Neurospora crassa OR74A: one gene and its partner. The main gene of each other region encodes a partner of the protein of the gene in region 2 in a complex. Links are inferred from orthologs where the notes say so. Each region holds a gene or a part of one and is shown on either strand. Other genes may lie near its edges.

Evidence for each region. Proteins that work in one complex are often made in the same cells at the same time.
Region 1: NCU06542 (region 2) and NCU09539 share a complex: the UniProt entries of both Schizosaccharomyces pombe proteins name them as parts of the mitochondrial small ribosomal subunit. The link is inferred for Neurospora crassa OR74A from reciprocal best matches to the Schizosaccharomyces pombe genes mrps12 and sws2.

Annotation. Positions count from the first base shown.
Region 1 is NC_026505.1:4,523,509-4,533,020, forward strand, and holds NCU09539 (putative mitochondrial 37S ribosomal protein SWS2), read right to left. Parts: upstream 4,239-9,512; 5' UTR 4,080-4,238; coding exon 4,077-4,079; intron 4,011-4,076; coding exon 3,966-4,010; intron 3,882-3,965; coding exon 3,570-3,881; 3' UTR 3,106-3,569; downstream 1-3,105. Other genes in the region: NCU09538 (microsomal dipeptidase), read left to right, coding at 1,552-1,795, 1,846-2,058, 2,142-3,073; NCU09540 (hypothetical protein), read left to right, coding at 4,443-6,248; NCU09541 (hypothetical protein), read left to right, coding at 9,385-9,408, 9,497-9,512. UniProt on the Schizosaccharomyces pombe protein: Component of the mitochondrial ribosome (mitoribosome), a dedicated translation machinery responsible for the synthesis of mitochondrial genome-encoded proteins, including at least some of the essential transmembrane subunits of the mitochondrial respiratory chain.
Region 2 is NC_026504.1:1,580,625-1,590,006, forward strand, and holds NCU06542 (putative mitochondrial 37S ribosomal protein MRPS12), read right to left. Parts: upstream 5,373-9,382; 5' UTR 5,230-5,372; coding exon 5,074-5,229; intron 4,919-5,073; coding exon 4,625-4,918; intron 4,491-4,624; coding exon 4,416-4,490; 3' UTR 4,235-4,415; downstream 1-4,234. Other genes in the region: NCU06541 (alpha-1,2 mannosyltransferase KTR1), read left to right, coding at 2,240-2,290, 2,387-3,289, 3,352-3,640, 3,705-3,772; NCU06543 (acyl-CoA dehydrogenase), read left to right, coding at 6,564-6,655, 6,755-7,964. UniProt on the Schizosaccharomyces pombe protein: Component of the mitochondrial ribosome (mitoribosome), a dedicated translation machinery responsible for the synthesis of mitochondrial genome-encoded proteins, including at least some of the essential transmembrane subunits of the mitochondrial respiratory chain.

The DNA.
Region 1 (9,512 bases), on a different chromosome or scaffold from region 2:
CGCCGCCGAGTGGCCTGGGGATGGAGACGACGCAGGCACCGTGATAGCAGCGGGGGTCTCTTTCAACGGAGCTCAATGCCGGTCTCCTTGTCGTGGGATCCAACTATCCGGATATGGGACCAAATCACTACCTGGATAGTCGACTAGGTACCTGGGTGATGAGCATGAAGTTGGCGGTGATCGCCGACGGAACTAGGAAGGAACAACAAGAGCAAAATGCAGTGGCCTGCTAAAGTGTCAAAGTAAAAAGAAGTGAAGTTGAAGAAACGCTGGGGGGGGGGCTTCAGGGGAGGGGAAGGAGAAGCACCGGCAGCCAAATTGGAAAGACACAAGGCAAAAGTCCAGTCGTTGTCGATGTCGCAGTCAGAAATAGCAGTCAGTGAGCACAAGGGACGAACGGGCATTCGTGAAACAGGGGCAACACACACTCAAACTTCTTCAAGTACAGCACGCAGATGGGTGCACTTCCTTTACCTACACTAGAAGAGGTGGACGGCAGGATGTGGTGCGCTTGCAGGTAGGTAAGTCTGGTAAGGTAGGTACGGGCAGGCCGAGTGGAAGTGGTGGAGGTGCAGGGACGGTGTCCACCGAGAAGTGTCATGGTGGGTTGGCTGTCATCGGGCAGCCAAGTCTCACTCATTCAGTTCCAAGTTTCATTGGAGGAGGGGCAGCGTCAGAAGGATCCACACGTGAGGTACAAGTACGCCCTAAAATAGGTAACCTCAACCTCCTCGTGTAGGGGTCGAGGGGTCTTGAGACGGGATGGAGCCTATCAAACTCAAGTTCCCGTGTCTGTTTCTTTCTGGAAACGTAGTTTTACACTTCTACACTACTTGAAGGTGAATGGTCTGCGGATTAGTGCTGAACTGAATGACTGAGACTTGGGCTGTGAACCCCACTGTCCCTCCTCGGATGTCCATGCCAAGACCGCTCTCTCGTTGGATGTCCAGACCACAAAGTGTAGCAAAGCATCACCATCGGGCAGCTTCGCCGCCAGCAGAGTTAAGGTCGCCGATGAGATACAACAGAATATGAACATTTGAGTAGTATTGTGCTTCGGGCTCGTCATGTACTTTGATGGGAGATGAAGGAACTGGCACGGCCCAAAGGCTGTGGTCCCGTCAGTTATGGATGCTGCACTTTATACATATACGCCAAGATACCCACTCTACGAACCACTCAGTAGACGTGTAGATCTCAGTTGGAGTAACTGTTCATGACTCCTTTCGACATTACCTATTCGTGCCTTGACTCGGATTCTAGATGTAGTCGCTTGAGACGCACCGGTAGGTCTACACTAAGTATACACGCTTCTTTTGCATCTAACTCAAGAAGTGTATGCATTTCCAGGTCGCATCATCAATGACATGACAACGCCGCGGACTATCAACTAAGATGAAGTAACCCCGCTAAGCTTTAGGCGATTTCTAATCCTTCAACGACAACACCGTAAACACGCTCCCCTGTTTCTACTTACGCATCTCTTTTCCCTTTTCCCTCATTCATCGCTTTTTCGGCCATAACGTTGGTGAAACAGTCGTCCCTGAGAAGATGAAGGAAGAAAAGACCCGCGATGTCGGGGATGATGTTGAGCGTTTATCCGCCCCCAACACGCGCCGTCAACGGCGAGGATTCGGCCGCAAGTTCTGGGCCGCCGTGATCATCTCTCTTTTATTGCTTCACCTTCTCGTCCGACCCGCCAGCTATGGCATGTCGGGTTGCCTGCCCAGCTACCCGAGGGAGAAGAGCATTGAAAAACGCGTGAAGCGTATCCTGTCACACACTCCATTGATCGGTACGACCACAAATCAATAATTATTCACCAAATACTGACATAGAGTATAGATGGACACAATGATTTGCCAATCCTGCTGCGAGCCGCTTTCAAGAACCACATCAATGACAAGAACTTTACCACCGGCTGGGAAGACGGCACGCTCCCCGGTCATGTCGACCTTGCACGCCTGAGAGCTGGTATGAACGGAGGGGCCTTCTGGAGCTTGTTCTGGCCTTGCCCTGCCAACGGCTCCGACTTTTCTGATGAAAACTATCTGCCCGGTGGGTTCAACCTTTCACGCAGCCTTACTGCATAGCACGTCAAGAGAAAAAGAGTCTGACATTATCCCTTTCCAACCACACAGCCGTCCAGGCTACCCTCCAACAGATCGACCTAGTCGACCGCCTCAAAGCCGCCTATCCCAAGGACCTCGGGCCGGCAGTCTCCAGCAAAGCCGCCTACAAGGCCTGGAAGCACCACAACCAGCTCATCTCGCCCATGGGCATCGAGGGCCTGCACCAGATCGGCAACTCGGCCGCCACGCTGCGGCGCTACCACGCCCTGGGCGTCCGCTACGCGACCTTGGTCCACAACTGCGGCAACAAGTACGCCGACGCCGCCCTGCAGGAGAACCCATTCCGCAAGGCCCCGTCCCACTGGGGCGGCGTCAGCCCGGCCGGCGAAGCCCTAGTCAACGAGATGAACCGCATCGGCATGATCGTGGATCTGGCCCACACCAGCGTCGACACGATGAAGGATGTTTTGGGTGGCTCGGGCAAGGACTGGAATGGCAGCAGGGCCCCTGTCATCTTCAGCCACTCGAGCGCCTACGCGCTGTGCCCCCACCCGCGCAACGTGCCGGATGACGTCCTTCGTCTGGTCAAGGAGCGCAACTCGCTGGTTATGGTCAACTTCTCACCCGACTTTATCTCGTGCGTGGCGGCGCCGGACAGGGACGATGGGCTGCCGGATTTTTACCCGGCCAATGCGACTCTGGAGCATGTGGCTGACCATATCATTCATATTGGCGAGCTGATTGGATATGATCATGTCGGTCTGGGTAGTGACTTTGATGGGATTCCAGTCGTCCCGAAGGGACTGGAAGATGTCTCGCGCTACCCGGACTTGGTGGCCGAGCTGCTTCGACGGGGTGTTAGTGATGAGGATGTGAGCAAGGTCGTGGGCGGTAACATACTCCGCGTGTGGAGGGATGTTGAGCTCGTGGCGGCTACGATGCAAGCTGCTGGTGAGTCGGCTCTGGAGGATGATCTGCCTAACTTGATGCCCGAGGAGTAGACATCTGAATGGGCGGCACGTAGAGAAAATTACCGTGTTTCCGCAAAGTTTTGTGGCAGCGTAGATAGCTCCAAGATGAGCCTGCAGATGGCAAGCTGCTTATATAAAGACACAAGATCTGGCTAGCATATAGACTCGGGAATTGGGTATCATAAATGTCTGTCGTGATTCGAGTCAATAAGCAAAAAGTTGCCCGTGTTTTGACTTGATCCGATGAATTGCTCTACAACGCCGCGCCTGATTCCTTTTGCGTCCCAGCGTGTCTTCGTTCTGGCTTGACGTATCGTACACTGATTTTGCCTGCCTGCCTGCTCTAAAAGCTCGACAACACCCAGCCGAGCCACGTCAGGCACATCTCTTTCTTCTCTGTCCATGCGTTCGATCCCATGGTCCGACAGCTATCGAAGCAAATGTCGCGTAGCAGAATTGCTCCAGAAATATCCAGACGTCATGGTATTCTCCAAGGTTCCCGTCACCATTACCGTCATCGACTCGCTCAACCGTGGCGCTCGATCTTGTTGAGCTTCCTGGCGTTGGCGATCTGGTTCCTCGTCTGCTGACCGCGCACGGGCAGACCCATGGCATGGCGACGACCGCGGTAGGTACCCATATCACGGAGGCGCTTGATGTTGTCCAGCACCAGCCTCCTGGCGTCGTTCTCGATTGTCATGGTCGACAGTTCGGCCGTCAGGGCAGTGACGATCTTGGGCGGGAGGGTGCCCATCTTCGCGCGCGGGTGGATCGAATACTTTGCGAGAATGCGGGCAGAGGCCTGCTGGCCTAGGCCGTAGAAGCTCTCGAGAGCTTTCTGTGGTTCGCAAGTGGAAGGTTAACCAGGGTGATTCTTGGAGCGCAGAGGAGGACGAGGACGAGGACGAGGAGGAGAGCGCACCTGGACGAGCTTGTGCTCATTGAAGTTGACTCCCAGGATGAACACCTAGCAATAAAATGTTAGAACTTTTGGACAAATATTCCCGGAAATCGCAGAGGCCGTTGTAGGTACCATCTTGTTAGCCGACGATAAGTCACCTTGTCGCAATGGGCATAACTCGGTTCAGGAATCGCGGAGGAGTCTCGACTCTCAGCTCTCAGCAACCCGCAACCCGCGATTTGGAACCGGGCGTGCAGACTTGCCGGGCAGGCGGCGGATCGTGGGGGAGCCCGCATTGGCCGGTGCAAATCCGCAGCGGAGCATTTGGGGTGCGGGACAGCTGGCATCCCATGCTCCGCCAGCTGTCGCCATAAAGGTTATACACATGCGATTGTACCTCATGCATACACTTTACCGTATGAGTCTTGCGAAAAGAAAGCCAAAATTTCATGGCGATGTGCCAAAAATGCAGATGAACAACCACTCACCATACACATCATGACGATCGACTTTACTGCGAGGCCAGAAAAGCCTCTTCCATACTCGGATGATTTTTCATCTGCAGACCAATATGTCGACAGTCTGCTGGACTTTGCGACCAATTCCCACCTTTTCCAGTTTCTCTGTGGTGGTGTCCACATTCTTGACTTCTTCACCAGCGAGCCCGGCCTATTTGTCTCTGCCGTTCCCAAGGAATGGCAGGAGTACCTGGTGCAGACCGAGCCCATGGTCCTTTTGGATTTCTTGATGAGAGATGATCTTGACACACTTGCCGCGCAAACTGGCCCGGGACAGCCTCCCGAGACGCTGGTTCAATATGTCAAGGATATCAGGAAACTTTCTTTACGACGCTCCTTCCAGCCCAGCAAGCCAAAACTACCGGTGCTTCCTCGGCAGGTAGCTTTGGGAATGAACACCAAGAAAGTTCACGAAGTCACTCACTTTTCCGGATACATCGACAGGCTCTCGGAGGACGTCGCTCGGGTGAGGGGACAGGAACTGACGCACTTGGTAGACTTTGGCAGTGGCCAGAATTATCTAGGCCGCGCTCTGGCGAGTCCTCCGTACAACAAGCATATTGTTGCCGTGGAGAGCAAGGAGGCCAACACAGCAGGCGCTAAGGATCTCGATATCTTGTCCGGTCTAGCTGAGCGGGAGAAGAGAATCCGCAACAAGAAGCTCTACCACCGCATTATGGAAAGTGTAGATCCGTCAGAAGCCAACGATGAAGAGGCACTGAAGCGCGCCGCAAAGGCACTGGGTGTGACAGACGAAGATATTGCTACCATTGATCTCCGATCGAGAAAGGAGCTTCAGGCCACTTATGCGCGGGAGGAAGGAAAGGGCAGCATTGAGTACGTCGTTGCCAAGTTGGGAGATGCCGACTTGGCCCCTGTGATCTCCCAGCTGGAGTACACGGAAACTCACAGCGAGGATGATCTCAGCATGATGGCTGTGTCCATCCACTCATGTGGCAACCTCTCTCACTACGGCATCCGGTCCATGGTCCTCAACTCGTCTATCCACGCCGTTGCAATCGTGGGTTGCTGCTACAACCTTCTCACCGAAAAACTGGGTCCTCCGACTTTCAAGCCTTGCTTCAGTCGGCCAACCCTTCAGCCATTGAATGCTCGTGTTGTTAGGGAGTCCGAGAGACGAGATCCCCAGGGTTTCCCCATGAGTGAGAAACTCTCCACCTACAATGACCAAGGCATCCGACTCAACATTACAGCGCGTATGATGGCGTGCCAAGCACCCGGGAACTGGACCGACAAGGAGAGCGATGCCTTCTTCACCCGCCACTTTTACCGCGCCGTCTTGCAAAGGATATTCCTCGACAAGGGGGTCATTTCCAAGGTCTACCACGGGCCAAGCGAGGGCGAGGGCGAGGGCGAGGATGGCAACGAGAGCCCGTTCAACTTCAGCACCAACCCCGTCGTGATCGGCTCACTCAGGAAGCAATGCTACACCTCGTTCAGCGCCTACGTCCGCGGAGCGATCACGAAGCTAACGACCAACTCGGACTTTAGCCAGTACAGCCAGATTGTACGCGAGAAGCTAAGTGACATCACCGACGAGGAGATTGCCAAGTACGAGGCCGCGTACCTGCCCCGAAAGCGGGAGCTCAGCGCAGTCTGGAGCCTGATGGCCTTTAGCGCGTGCGTTGTTGAGTCCCTTATCGTGACTGACCGGTACCTGTTCCTCAAGGAACATTCCGATATTGTTCGCGACTGCTGGGTGGAGACAGTATTTGACTATGGCCAGAGCCCTCGAAATCTCGTCGTTGTGGGTATCAAGAAATAAGAAGACGTGTAGGAAAATAAAACGATGTCGGATGAGTTGTCTCCTCTTCCCCAGCCACCTTTGTCTTTCACGCATACCTACCTATACAGCAATCTCTCGGATATTGTACCCCTGGGGTTGTGCGGGATGTTGTAAGACATTTGACTTGTTGACCTGATATATCTATTTTTGTGTCCGTCCAGGTTATACCCTATGTCTACCTATCCCGGGGGTTTTATTCCGCAAATGGAGAGAGTTGCAGGACTGTCGTTCCGAATTTCTGCACGCCTTCGGTTCGGCTAATGGTCGCATCCTTCTTCGATGGGGAACTGCCATTCAGCATGTCGCAATAGGTTGAAGCGATCTGTCCCACGCTGCAGCAGCATTACCCCTAGATCGGAGAGCTCTTAGCCTTCTTGCAGTTTGCCGTTGCATGTTGAGCCGAATAAGAAGACTCGACATTCCGATGATCATCAAGCATGGTCTTTGGTATGCCGGATCCCCTAGTCACTTGCATGGTGTTTGATAATTTGCTTCCGGACAGACGCTGTCACCAGACAAAGTGAAAGCCAGAACTCGGTCCGATGATCGGTGTCTAAACCTTCTCTTCCAGGTGGCACAAGCTCGGGTACCGCGACCTGTCAAGCAGAAGCAGATCAAACCGGAACATACAATTGAACCTTTTTGACCAATCATGCGGGAACGAACAAAGCTTTGAAACAGAGGCGTTCTTTTCTGCGTTATCTCTTGTCTCTTGTTGTACAAAGGCAAGTTCAAGTTCTCGGTGTGGCTTCTGACGTGCCGCGTTTTCTCGACATGACCGGTGTGTAACTGGAAGGGATACTATCAGGTGAAGGCTGGCGAAGGCTCGAGAAGTTGGCTGTTTCCGAAGATGGTCGACATGTGCTTCCTCCTGGCTATAGTGATCCAATCCAGGCTGACTACTAGAAAGGAATAGAGGGGAAAGAAGGAGAGGGGGGGTTCACTTCTCGGGATTTGATCTGTCTTTTTTTGCGCCACTCCACAAGAGAGGCTTCCCCCACACTTTCTGCTGCCCAAAGAGAAGAACCAATAACTCTTTTGCGAGAGTTAATTGTTGTTGCGGTGGCGCCAGGTCACCAGCAATGAGGTGAAACTGAAAGGCTGTGAAAGAACCCATGGCTGACAGGCAGGCAACCTCGAGGGCGCAAGCAGAGGTGAGGTACCTGCGTTTCGTCCTTTGACTTTGCTTTACATGTATAGTACACTACATTGCTTAGTGCCGGCATTGTAGGTACATTGGGAGGTATGCGTTGTAACCCATCTGTCTTACTGGCGTTTGCCCAGAGTGGTGGAGCTGGAGATGCAAAACAGAAAGAAGTAGACACCTCTCCTAACGACATCTTCCACTCATGATGTGCTTGGCAATGATTCGAATCGGAGTGATCTTGAATCTTAGTGCAGTCCGGCAAAGACCGCAATCTGTACGCTGGAATCAACATCCATCATCAAGAAGGCAAAGTGAGACAGAGATGATGGGAATCGGTTGCAGTATTTCGAGAACGCTAGATGCACCCGAGGTGCTTGACATGACAAGCGCCCGCGGTTACCTGCAGGTGCGCGAGCATGGAGGTGGATAACTTGAAGTGATGTGCCGAAGACACCTGCCCCCCCTGGTTCTGATACACTAGAAAGACATTGTTCACCGGGTTTCCTCCACTCCTTTTTTTTCTTCTGACATTTTCTTTTTATGTTTTGTCGAGTTCTATCACACATACGTAGCTACCTATGCAAGGCGCCTGACCGACCGATAGATACCCCCACAGGCGATCTCATGTGATAGAAAGCTCTCGGACCCTTACTGGGTCTGGTTCGATACCTATAACGGAAGCGTGTCCGGACTGTTGTTCTTCACATCGCCTACCCCACCACCTGCACTGGACCTAAGGTTCTACTCCATGCGTACACTAACATAGAGGTACACTACACCTATCGTCAACCCCTGGGTATGCAGCCTGGTGATCTATCCAAATATTTGAATCGAGGACTTGCATCGATCGCCATAGCACTAAATACTGCATCGCATGCAGGCATCAGTACTATATGCCGGCGGACTTCGTCTTTAGGTTCTACCACCGTGGGGTTCGAAAGAGGTTCTCCAACACGATGGCCAGGGCCCCGGCTTAGGTTATAGCACAATCACGGGCAGGTAAGGTACCTCTACCTTATCAGTTCTTCTCCCGGACCCAGACGCTTCCCCCCGATCTCGGGTCGGGTCCCCTTCATCCTCTGTCCCGCCAAGCTTTACAATGTCACAAAGAGAGCAAGTAGATACTGTACTCAGCAGATGGAGAACTGAAGAAGGAAGTGTGAACTGGAGAAGCGCTCACTCCTCTTACATTCATCACTTTGACGAACGAACTTCCACTTGTTTTCGATATCCCCATGTCTTTTTTCCCTCTTTTGTTTTTCTGAACCTTCGCTTATCCATCCCAAATTTCTTTAATAGCTCCATGTATCCTGGCCCTTCTGGTCCTTGCTCTCTTCGTTGACTCATCCATCCTTTCCACTTCCACAATCTCCTATCTTGTATACTTTGACGATACTCCCCCACCTACCCATAGAGTTCCCTTTCCATCTCGCGTCCTCGGTGACTGGACTCGCGTCTCTATCAGTCCGACCGAGCCTACTTTGTTTCACATAGCTACTTGCTGATCCACCTATCTATCTCCTATCTTTCAGATCGACAACCCAAGAACTGACATTTTGTGACGTGACGTTCGACGGACTCCGCTTTGATTGTACGGAATAGATCGGGAGTCCGGAACAGTCACCTACCCAAACGATCCAGTGGACCCCTCAAAACGCACCTCACTTTCGCCTTACCCAGGTGTTACTCCAAAAACTGTTTAAAGCTCAACTCCTCTTTTTCGAGACGTCACAAGGTCACACCTTGATCACCTCATTTCTCATCACTCCTTCGACGCCATTCATTTGATCTTTGTTTTATTTTATTTTATTTCCAAAGGGGAAGAATCATCGCAGGAAATAGAAGTGACAAGGGTTCCATCTTGGCTGTCTTTCTTAAAACCACCAAGGTGTGCCTTGGGCATTTTACGGAAAACCATCAAAGAGAACTCCAGATCAAGGGAAGCAATCAATTCACACATTCACTGCTATGAACGCACAAATAACTTTCCTGGTAAGACATCCCCTTTTCCTTATTTTTTATACCATTCTCACCCCACAATATCATCACTAATTCTTTGTCTCGGAAACCAAAATAACAGGATGGAACCCTGCGTC
Region 2 (9,382 bases):
GTGTCGACGGCGGTGCGACTCGTGCAAAGGAGCGGAGCAGAGCTTGTCAGGGCGGCAACAAATACTCAGCGCTCGGCTTGGAAATATTAAAACAGAGAAGCAAAGAAGGCTGTGAACTAACGACCGGAAGCGCAACTGGGTGCGCCGCGGTGAAGATGTGGATGCGGTTGCTCGGAGTGGTAGCTTGATGGCAGCGCAAAAGGCGACAAGAGACCGACGCAGATGGATGAAGTCAGGCCAACTCCAACTCAGAAGCCAGATCAGGGAGCTGTGGACCAATCGCCCCCGAGGGCCAATGGAGCCTGGCAACAGGTGGGCGGGCGGCGGTAGGCCTGACGCTTTGACACACCACCCTCCTGTCTTGCCGTTCGTTGACTGACGATGGGACTTCCAAGGCCGCGGCCGGGGGAGTGATTGCCACGGTTGGGCGGCAACCAGAGGCCCATTGCCTGCCGGGCTGTGGGATCCTCAACCGCCGGCAAGAATGTCCATTCCATCCTTCCAGTCTTGCAAGTTGTTTTATCCGATGAGCCAATCGGCGATACCCGCCCGCTAGTTGTGATGCGTAACAGTGATCAACTGGAGGCTACAACATGAGACCCGGACGGGACGGCAACCTCATGGTCAACATTTAACGCCAAGCCGACAACCAAATTTCAAGCTCGAGATATCGATTTTGGCAAGAAAGCTGAAGGGCAAGGACAGTAGCTCAGGCATCCATTTTGCTGCCGTGACATCCGTGACTAAACGCAGCTGTTTAGACTGTGCTTCTAAGTATGTGAATTCGCCATTCCGATGCAGGTGAAGCGGAAGCGCGGACATGGACAGAGGCAAACATGGCATGGCTATCTTAAGGCTGTTTTCTTGACAGGTGACTTTACTGTACATAGTATGCAGTCGAACTTGAATTATATCAGGGGCCTGGTATTTCCCTGTTGTTTCTTTTGAGAGGGAGGTATCATGGCCATCACTCAAGTCGGTGTTCTTCGCCATCTTGAAGAACTACTCCGATCGGAGGAGCAATGCGGAGGGAGCAGGCCGGCAGCAGATCATATTAACCCAAGTATCATAGTATGAGCTAATCAGCCACTTCTCAGCGTGGTAAAAGGATCAAGAAGCTCAAGACATACCCCTCCGTTGACGGATGCGACATGTGAACTGAAGTCGTCGTAGAGGTAGGTAGTGCCCCTGGAAGTTGACGACGCCCGTCTCAAGGGGGTTTTTGTCCCTTACTAACAGGGCCACGCTAGAACCGTCACGGCCCGCAATAATGGGGTACCTGCGGATACAGGTGACGACGAAGCTGTGGGGGCACCGAGGGCACCCTAATGTCTTTCCCTGCCGCCTACCCCCGCGGCCAATCTTTTGGTCCTGGCCGGACGGAAACATTGAGGTGCTCAGGGGAATGCACCGCAAGCGACCATCAGGAACGGGGAATGCGATAGCTTCTGGTAGGTATGTAGATATTATTTAGGCCACTTGCGGACGTTGCTGAGGATGTTGTAGGTAGATACCGACACTTTTGGGATGTTTTCATTACAGGCTAGTTCGCACCTAACTACCTCTAAAGAGGCCGAAACATGAACAGCACTTGAGATACCAGCATCTCCATGCTAGACATTCCTCTAATATCCAAGTCCCCAAGTATCAGAACAAAGTATCCAGGGGTATTTACAGTCTAGAAAAGTGCCAGACTCTTCTCAACCAACGGCCCGGGTACCCCTTTGCATACGCGGACGTGGCACCCCTCTGTACCTCTACGTGCCAATTAATGTGCCTAGCAAACCTCCGCATTATATCCATACAATACCAGGCAATACGAAGCTGCAGTGGGCTGCCCTAGCAGGACTGCGCCCGAGCCTTCGAACCCTGACAGCTAACAACACTTGGCTCCCGTCCCGCCTCCAAGGGAACTTCTTCCTCTTTCAACTTCACTTCTTTTTCAGGATCCAAGCCTGGCCATCTTCTCTCCTGGTTGAATTATCTCTTTCAACCACCGAGGCCGTGTTCGCCATCTGCAGTTCCATCTCGGACATCTCCCCGGGATCCGGACATCTCAAGACTTGTCGTGCAGCAGCGATTCACGAGGGATCCGGGTCGCTTCCTTCCGTGGCTCGCCTTCAGCCATTGTCCATCCTGTCCCACAGGACCCGTGAACACGAACATTTTCGGAAACACAATCACCACTGCACTCGACAAACTTTGACTTTAGGCTCGATTCAGTCCGTATTCCTTCAACATGGCGGCGGGCAGCGCACGCTACGTGCGCTACATCCTCCTTGCCTTTTTTGTAAGTCTGATCATCTCTGGTACACTTCTTGGCTCAATGCTCTGCACTCAATAGTAGCTGTTCGCTTTCCCGGTACCCCACTAACCATGACGTTAGGTTATCGCCGTTCTTTACTTCATCTCTACGCCGTCATCCGTCGTGACCCCCCTAAAAGATAACTTTGGCAAATTCCAACAATCCACCGGAAACTCGAAGCCATCGACTGGAAGTACTACCGGAAGCACTGCCGGAAGTACCACCGGAGGCACCACCGAAGTCGCCCACGATGAAAAGACACCCGCTAAGAGCAATGGCGCCGACTACGATCCTGCCCAGTACCCGTTGGCCATGACTCCGAATGACCCGGGCTGGAACGACTTGTCTGGGGTTAAGGGCGGCCCTCGCATGAACGCGACCTTTGTCACCTTGGCTCGCAACGGCGATGTGTGGGAAATTGCAAAGTCGATCCGCTCGGTCGAGGACCGCTTCAACCGCCGCTACAACTACGACTGGGTCTTCCTCAACGACAAGCCATTTGACGAAACCTTCAAGAAGGTTACCTCCTCGCTTGTGTCCGGCAAGACGTACTATGGCGAGATTCCGACCGAGCACTGGTCGTTCCCGCCTCACATTGACCAGGAGAAGGCCAAAAAGGTTCGCGAGGACATGAGACAGCGCAAGATCATTTACGGTGACAGTATCAGCTACCGCCACATGTGCCGCTTTGAGTCCGGCTTCTTCTTCCGCCAGCCCCTCATGATGAACTACGACTACTACTGGCGCGTTGAGCCGAGCGTCGAGTTCCACTGCGACATCCACTACGATCCTTTCCGCTTCATGCACGAGAATAACAAGAAGTACAGCTTCGTGCTCAGCCTTTACGAGTACTTCGAGACTATCCCGACCCTCTGGGACAGCGTTACCAAGTTCATCAAGAACCACCCCGAGCACATTGCTGAGGGCAACTCCATGGCTTTCCTCAGTGACGATGGTGGCAAGACCTACAACAAGTGCCACTTTGTAAGTATTTTCCGTGAGGATTCACAGCTTGCGACAAGTTTAGTCTAACAATGTTATTATAGTGGTCCAACTTTGAGATTGGTAGCCTCAACTGGCTTCGCTCCAAGGCCTACACCGACTACTTCGAGTCTCTGGATCAGGATGGTGGTTTCTTCTATGAGCGCTGGGGCGATGCCCCGGTCCACTCTATTGCCGCCGGCTTGATGTTGAAGAAGGAGGAAATCCACTTCTTCAACGACATTGCCTACTACCACGTTCCCTTCACTCACTGCCCCACCGGAGAGCAGTTCCGTCTCGACCGCAAGTGCCACTGCAACCCCAAGGAGAACTTTGACTGGAAGGGGTATTCTTGTAAGTCTTACCCGGAAGTTCCCTTCTCTTACTGAGCCGTCCACTGACCCCAATCACTTATCAGGCACTTCGAGGTACTACGAGCTTAATGGTCTTCCGAAGCCAGAAGGCTGGCAAGATCAGTCGGATTAGAAGGAGGCGAAGAAGAAACAGTTCTGAGGGTGTGGGGATTAAGGCTTTATGTTGGGAAAACAGGTCTGCAAATAAAACCAAAAGCGGACATTCCCTAGAATGTATTATCGTTATAATGACTTTTTCGTTCTCAATTGGTGGTACAACCCAATTGCCTGGAAACATGGACCTATAAATGGGAAAGGTTGGGCAAAAACGAAGCTGCCTGTTCTGAGTGTTTTGATGGATAGGGAAGGGCTATAAGGGGCGTTAAGGAAATCATGACACAATCACTTAGGGTTAGGTTCGTTGTTACCGACTGCTGAGATAACCCTGGTATTGCCAGGTGTGAAAAGGCAAGCTGACAGCAACACAGTTGGTCCAGTGTCTCCGTCCTTCCCCGAAGTATTTCGTCTTCGGTGTTGTATCATCTTGAACATGGCCAGTCTTCGACAGTCGTAATACAAGGAATATGGACGCCGATATCCTGTCATGCACCTTTTATTTCCTTATAGTACACGGACACATAGTTTAGGATGCGGAATGATGAACTACATGGATGAAGCTTAACCACCTCCACCACGCTCACATCACATCATCATCATCCTACTGCCATGTAACCAGGGGGGGTATCATCTCAATTGTGCTCTGTTGTGCTAGCTGCTTAACCAACAGAGGCCTTCTTGGGCTTCTTGGTACCGTACTTGCTACGACTAGACATACGAGTAGCAACACCGGCCTGTTTTATCACCATTCTTTGTCAGCACATCATTTTCACAAACTAAACACTCATCTTCCCCTTTTTCTCCTTCTCTCCCATCCTCCATCCAGGGGTCTCCATCTAGGGATTTTTCTTCTCAGGAAAAAACTTACCAAATCCAAAGCACCTCTAACAAGATGATACCTCACACCAGGGCAATCCTGGGCTCTGCCGCCACGCACGAGCACGACGCTGTGCTGCGAAATGTTGTGGCCCTCGCCGGGGATATAGGCCGTGATGACCTTACCCGTGGAAAGACGGACACGGGCAGTCTTGCGTTCGCCCGAATTGGGCTTCTTGGGACGCGTGATGCCGACTTTGACACATACACCCTTGAGCGCGGGAGACTTGATGGAGGACAGGGCGGGGGAGACGGCGTGGCGAGCACGTTGGGGCTTACGGCAACCCTGGAGGAATGAAGATAAGAGTGGTTAGCTTTTGATCAGATTGAATTGGACGCGGGACATAGGGCTGTGGTAGTAGCACGGGAACCAAAGTGGTGATAGGTGCATAGGTAGGTAGAGGTAGGCGGGTTGGGGATAGCCTCATCATCATCACTTACCCTCATGACCTGGTTAAGAGTGGCATTCTGCGCCGGAGTGCTGGAGAACAACCGCGCAGCAGCAGGAAGGATGGAAGAGGACGATGGCATCAGCGGCCGTCGTAGCAGCGACGGCTGCGCCTGCGAAAACAAGTTCCGCAAGAAAGTCGTCGCCATCTTGTGATCTTGTGGATCTTGCTGATGGCGGGATGCTCCGAAATCGTCAAGTTCGGTCGGTCGCGGCGCGCAACAGGACGCGGTACAGTACAGGATAGCGGTTCCCCAGGCCGGGCCCGGCAGGCGCACGCAGGGCCGGCGGCGGCGGGCGGTACCAGTGTGGGAACTTTTTTCGTGTCACGGGATGACACACGTGGAGATAAGCTGAGCCAAGAAGGTAGCAGAGGTACGTACCTACTGCCGTGCTTGAGGGACGGAAGCCATTGGGTAAGCTCCGAGTCGTGTGCGGCAATCATCGGTTAGCTGTGAGCCTTCGACAAACTGACAGTCACATGGCATTTGTTTTCCATTCCCCTTCGTTTTCTGAAACTCGTTCGTTGGCACCTCATCATTCCATTTCTATCGCTCGTCTGGCTCTGTTTTCCCTTCTCGCTCACGATCCATGGTTTGCTATTCGCGATTAACGAGTCACGATCCACGGTCTAGCAACAATGGTCACCGCTCGCCGTGCCCCGTGCCCGGCCATCATCAAGGTCCATTCGAGAGAGAGTGCCCCTCCTCCGATGTCCCGTCTCTACCGTGTCTCCCCCAAATGCATCCCTGTCGTGGCCACCGTTTACCCCGGCCAAGGAAATCTTTGTGGGGAAAATGACCTCTTAAGAGGACCGCCCGATTCGGAGCTTTGTGAATGGTGGAGACCTTACCTCGGCAGAGGGGGAGACACTTGACCCAGCTGTTCACAGCATATCGGCCGTGTGCCGGCCAATGCCATTGACCTTTGTTACCCGCTGGCTTGGCTTTTGAATTACTGAGAGAGAGAGGGATAGAGAGAGCTAACAGTAGAGCTCTTGTCCCGGTTGCCCGTAGGTATCCTGCTATCAAGGTGTACGCACCTATCTCCTCGAATACCGCGTGGGCTTCTGCGATAATGATCTGTTCTGTATATCAAATGCATAGTGACAGGTTAGACACATCGAAGGTGTAGGAGATGCATACGATGCAAAGGTCAAGAGAAATCGGGACTCTCTTCACCTTATTTTGAGCCCACGCTGTCATTGTTGCCTTCCATCCAATACTCCACGGATCATCGTTACGGAGCTACATAAGTACATCTTTCATCTGGTCGTTAGTGTTAGCTCCGCTGTACCGTGCCCAGCGACTTATAAGTACCCGAAGCTCGTTCCATCACACCTCCAGTTCTCCTTCCCCAAGCATTTGATACCCTTTCCGCCTTCTTTTCTTCCATTATCTCTGTCCTCTTCGTTCTTCCTAGACAGCACTCGCGCCAGGTTTCCGATCGGTTCTTTAATCATCACACATACGCATCAGACACAATGAAGTCGTTCACTAGGGTTTTGCGTCCCGCCGTCCGCAGGGCTCAGGCAGTTTCCGCTCCCAGACTCTCCAGAACTCCCGTCGTCCAATGGTAAGTTTTGTCATCTCGTCTCATGCCTGGTCTGGTCTCAAAAGAGATGGGCTGGAAGAGGGAGAAGGCGATGTGCTAATACTTGGTTTCCCGACATAGCGCTCGCACTCTTTCCACCACCTCCCCTCGCCGGGACATAACCGATCTGCCGCCAACCCCCATTACCCACTTCTCCGAGGTTGAGACCGCCATGGCTGAGACTGTCCAGAAGTTCGCCAACGATGTCATTCTTCCCAAGGTCCGCGATATGGATGAGGCCGAGGCTATGGACCCCGCCATTGTCGAGCAGCTTTTCGAGCAGGGTATTATGGGTGTCGAGATTCCCGAGGAGTACGGCGGTGCCGGCATGAACTTCACCGCCGCCATTGTTTGTATTGAGGAGCTCGCCCGCATCGACCCCTCGGTATCCGTCATGGTTGACGTCCACAACACCCTTGTCAATACCGCCGTCATTCGCTGGGGTAGCGAGGCGCTCAAGAAGAAGTACCTCCCCAAGCTGGCTACCAACACCGTCGGTTCCTTCTGCTTGTCCGAGCCCGTCTCCGGCTCTGATGCTTTCGCCCTCGCCACACGCGCCGTCGAGACCGAAAACGGCTACAAGATCAACGGCAGCAAGATGTGGATTACCAACAGTATGGAGGCCGACTTCTTTATTGTCTTCGCCAATGTCGACCCCAGCAAGGGCTACCGCGGTATTACCGCCTTCATCGTCGAGAAGGGCATGAAGGGCTTCAGCATCGCCAAGAAGGAGAAGAAGCTCGGCATCAAGGCCTCCAGCACGTGTGTGCTCAACTTTGACGACGTCGAGGTCCCCAAGGAGAACATTCTCGGCAAGGTCGGCGAGGGCTACAAGTACGCCATTGGCATCCTCAACGAGGGCCGCATCGGTATCGGCGCCCAGATGACCGGTCTCGCGCTCGGTGCGTGGGAGAACGCGGTCAAGTACGTGTGGAACGACCGCAAGCAGTTCGGCCAGCTCGTCGGCGAGTTCCAGGGCATGCAGCACCAGATCGCCCAGTCCTACACCGAGATCGCCGCCGCGCGCGCGCTCGTCTACAATGCCGCCCGCAAGAAGGAGGCCGGCGAGGATTTCGTCATGGATGCCGCTATGGCCAAGCTCTACGCTTCCCAGGTTGCCGGCCGCGTCTCCGGTCTCGCTGTCGAGTGGATGGGTGGCATGGGCTTCGTCCGTGAGGGTCTTGCTGAAAAGTTCTTCCGTGACAGCAAGATCGGTGCCATTTACGAGGGTACCAGCAACATCCAGCTTAACACTATTGCCAAGACTCTCCAGAAGCAGTACACTGCTTAAGATAGCGGGTTGACTGTCGATATGTGTTCTGATGGTAGTGTTATATAAGGGTGTGCATGTACATATTGGTTAGGATATCATGGAGTTAAGGGGATGCCGAGTTTCAAAAGGGGCAGGAAGCACCTTGTCATGATCTAGAATATTCAGCAAGCCATTTTTTTTCCGGTCACTCATTCCGGTTTCTTTCTGGTTTTCTTGATTTTTCGGTTTTCTTTACATGATTTGGGAGCCGTGCGAGATGCGATGATCCGTCGTACATTGATCTGGCTGGCAATGTCCATGAGACATGGGACTTTGATCGAACGCAACATCCACAATGCTCCGTCAACACTGCAACAAGTACTTACCTGACGCCCGTTTGCTGTCATTCATCCTGCGATATGTGCCTACGGATACTGATATGCCTTTGGCGCGCGCAGCTAGTCTTCAAAGTGATTTCACTCGAGGATAACCGAGGACGAAGCCGATGGAAAGTTGACGGGTCTCTTGATATTCGAACTCCTCGTCATCTACAACTCTTTCCGGTTTATACTGCGTAAACCAGCTGTTTGGCTCACCCCATGAGTCCTACATCCCTGCATTCTCAAACCTGGCTTCGGTCATGATTTTCCGAAGCTTCATTCACTACAAGTATCGAATCTCTACTGTGTCATTCGGGTAGGAAACCAGTCGAGTCTTGGGACGAAATCCAGCTTCTTCGGCTTGGACAATTTCCAGCTTATTTATCCCTAACCCGCAACCCATCACATCAGTGTAGTGTAGGTAGTATGCATCCTAAGACATGGATGGGCACACCGTGACCGCCTTTCCTGTCGAGACTCCAAATGGGGTTTGTCTCCTCTGTCTCAAGTCGCCGTCATCATTGCCTAAATACTTGCACATCAGGACTTTTCGGGCGATGGTGTTCTCAAAAGTCAGGCGGTTAACATGTGAGGTCTTTATACACAGACCAACCTTTGAGATTTGTTAGTGCGAAACTTACAACGTCTTCTGACAAGGCAGAAAGAGGACATGATTTTCAGGCGGTTCTATTGGTCCAAACCGAGCTAGAGTCAGGTTATGAACAACAATTGATGGTGTCCCATACATATGTCTCGCACCAAAATTTGACTGTACTTATAGCGAGCAATAAGCAGGATTGGCGCCTACCTCTAGCCATCTTGAAAGTGCCATGTTAACAAACTTTTCGAGGGTGAACTGTTGACAGCATGTTCCTTCACTAGGACGAGTGAAAGAAAGTCGACTGCGTGATCCAAGTCCCCAAAGTGTGATTCGGCATGCCCAATCACAGCCCTCCAAACTCAAGCGGTTCAAGGTGCGCCACCAACTGAACTCAAGTGCACGCACCCGTTTCGATACTGCGCCCACTGACACCCCTCGGTCTCCGGGCTTCCAATCCCATGTCCCAAGCCCAAGTG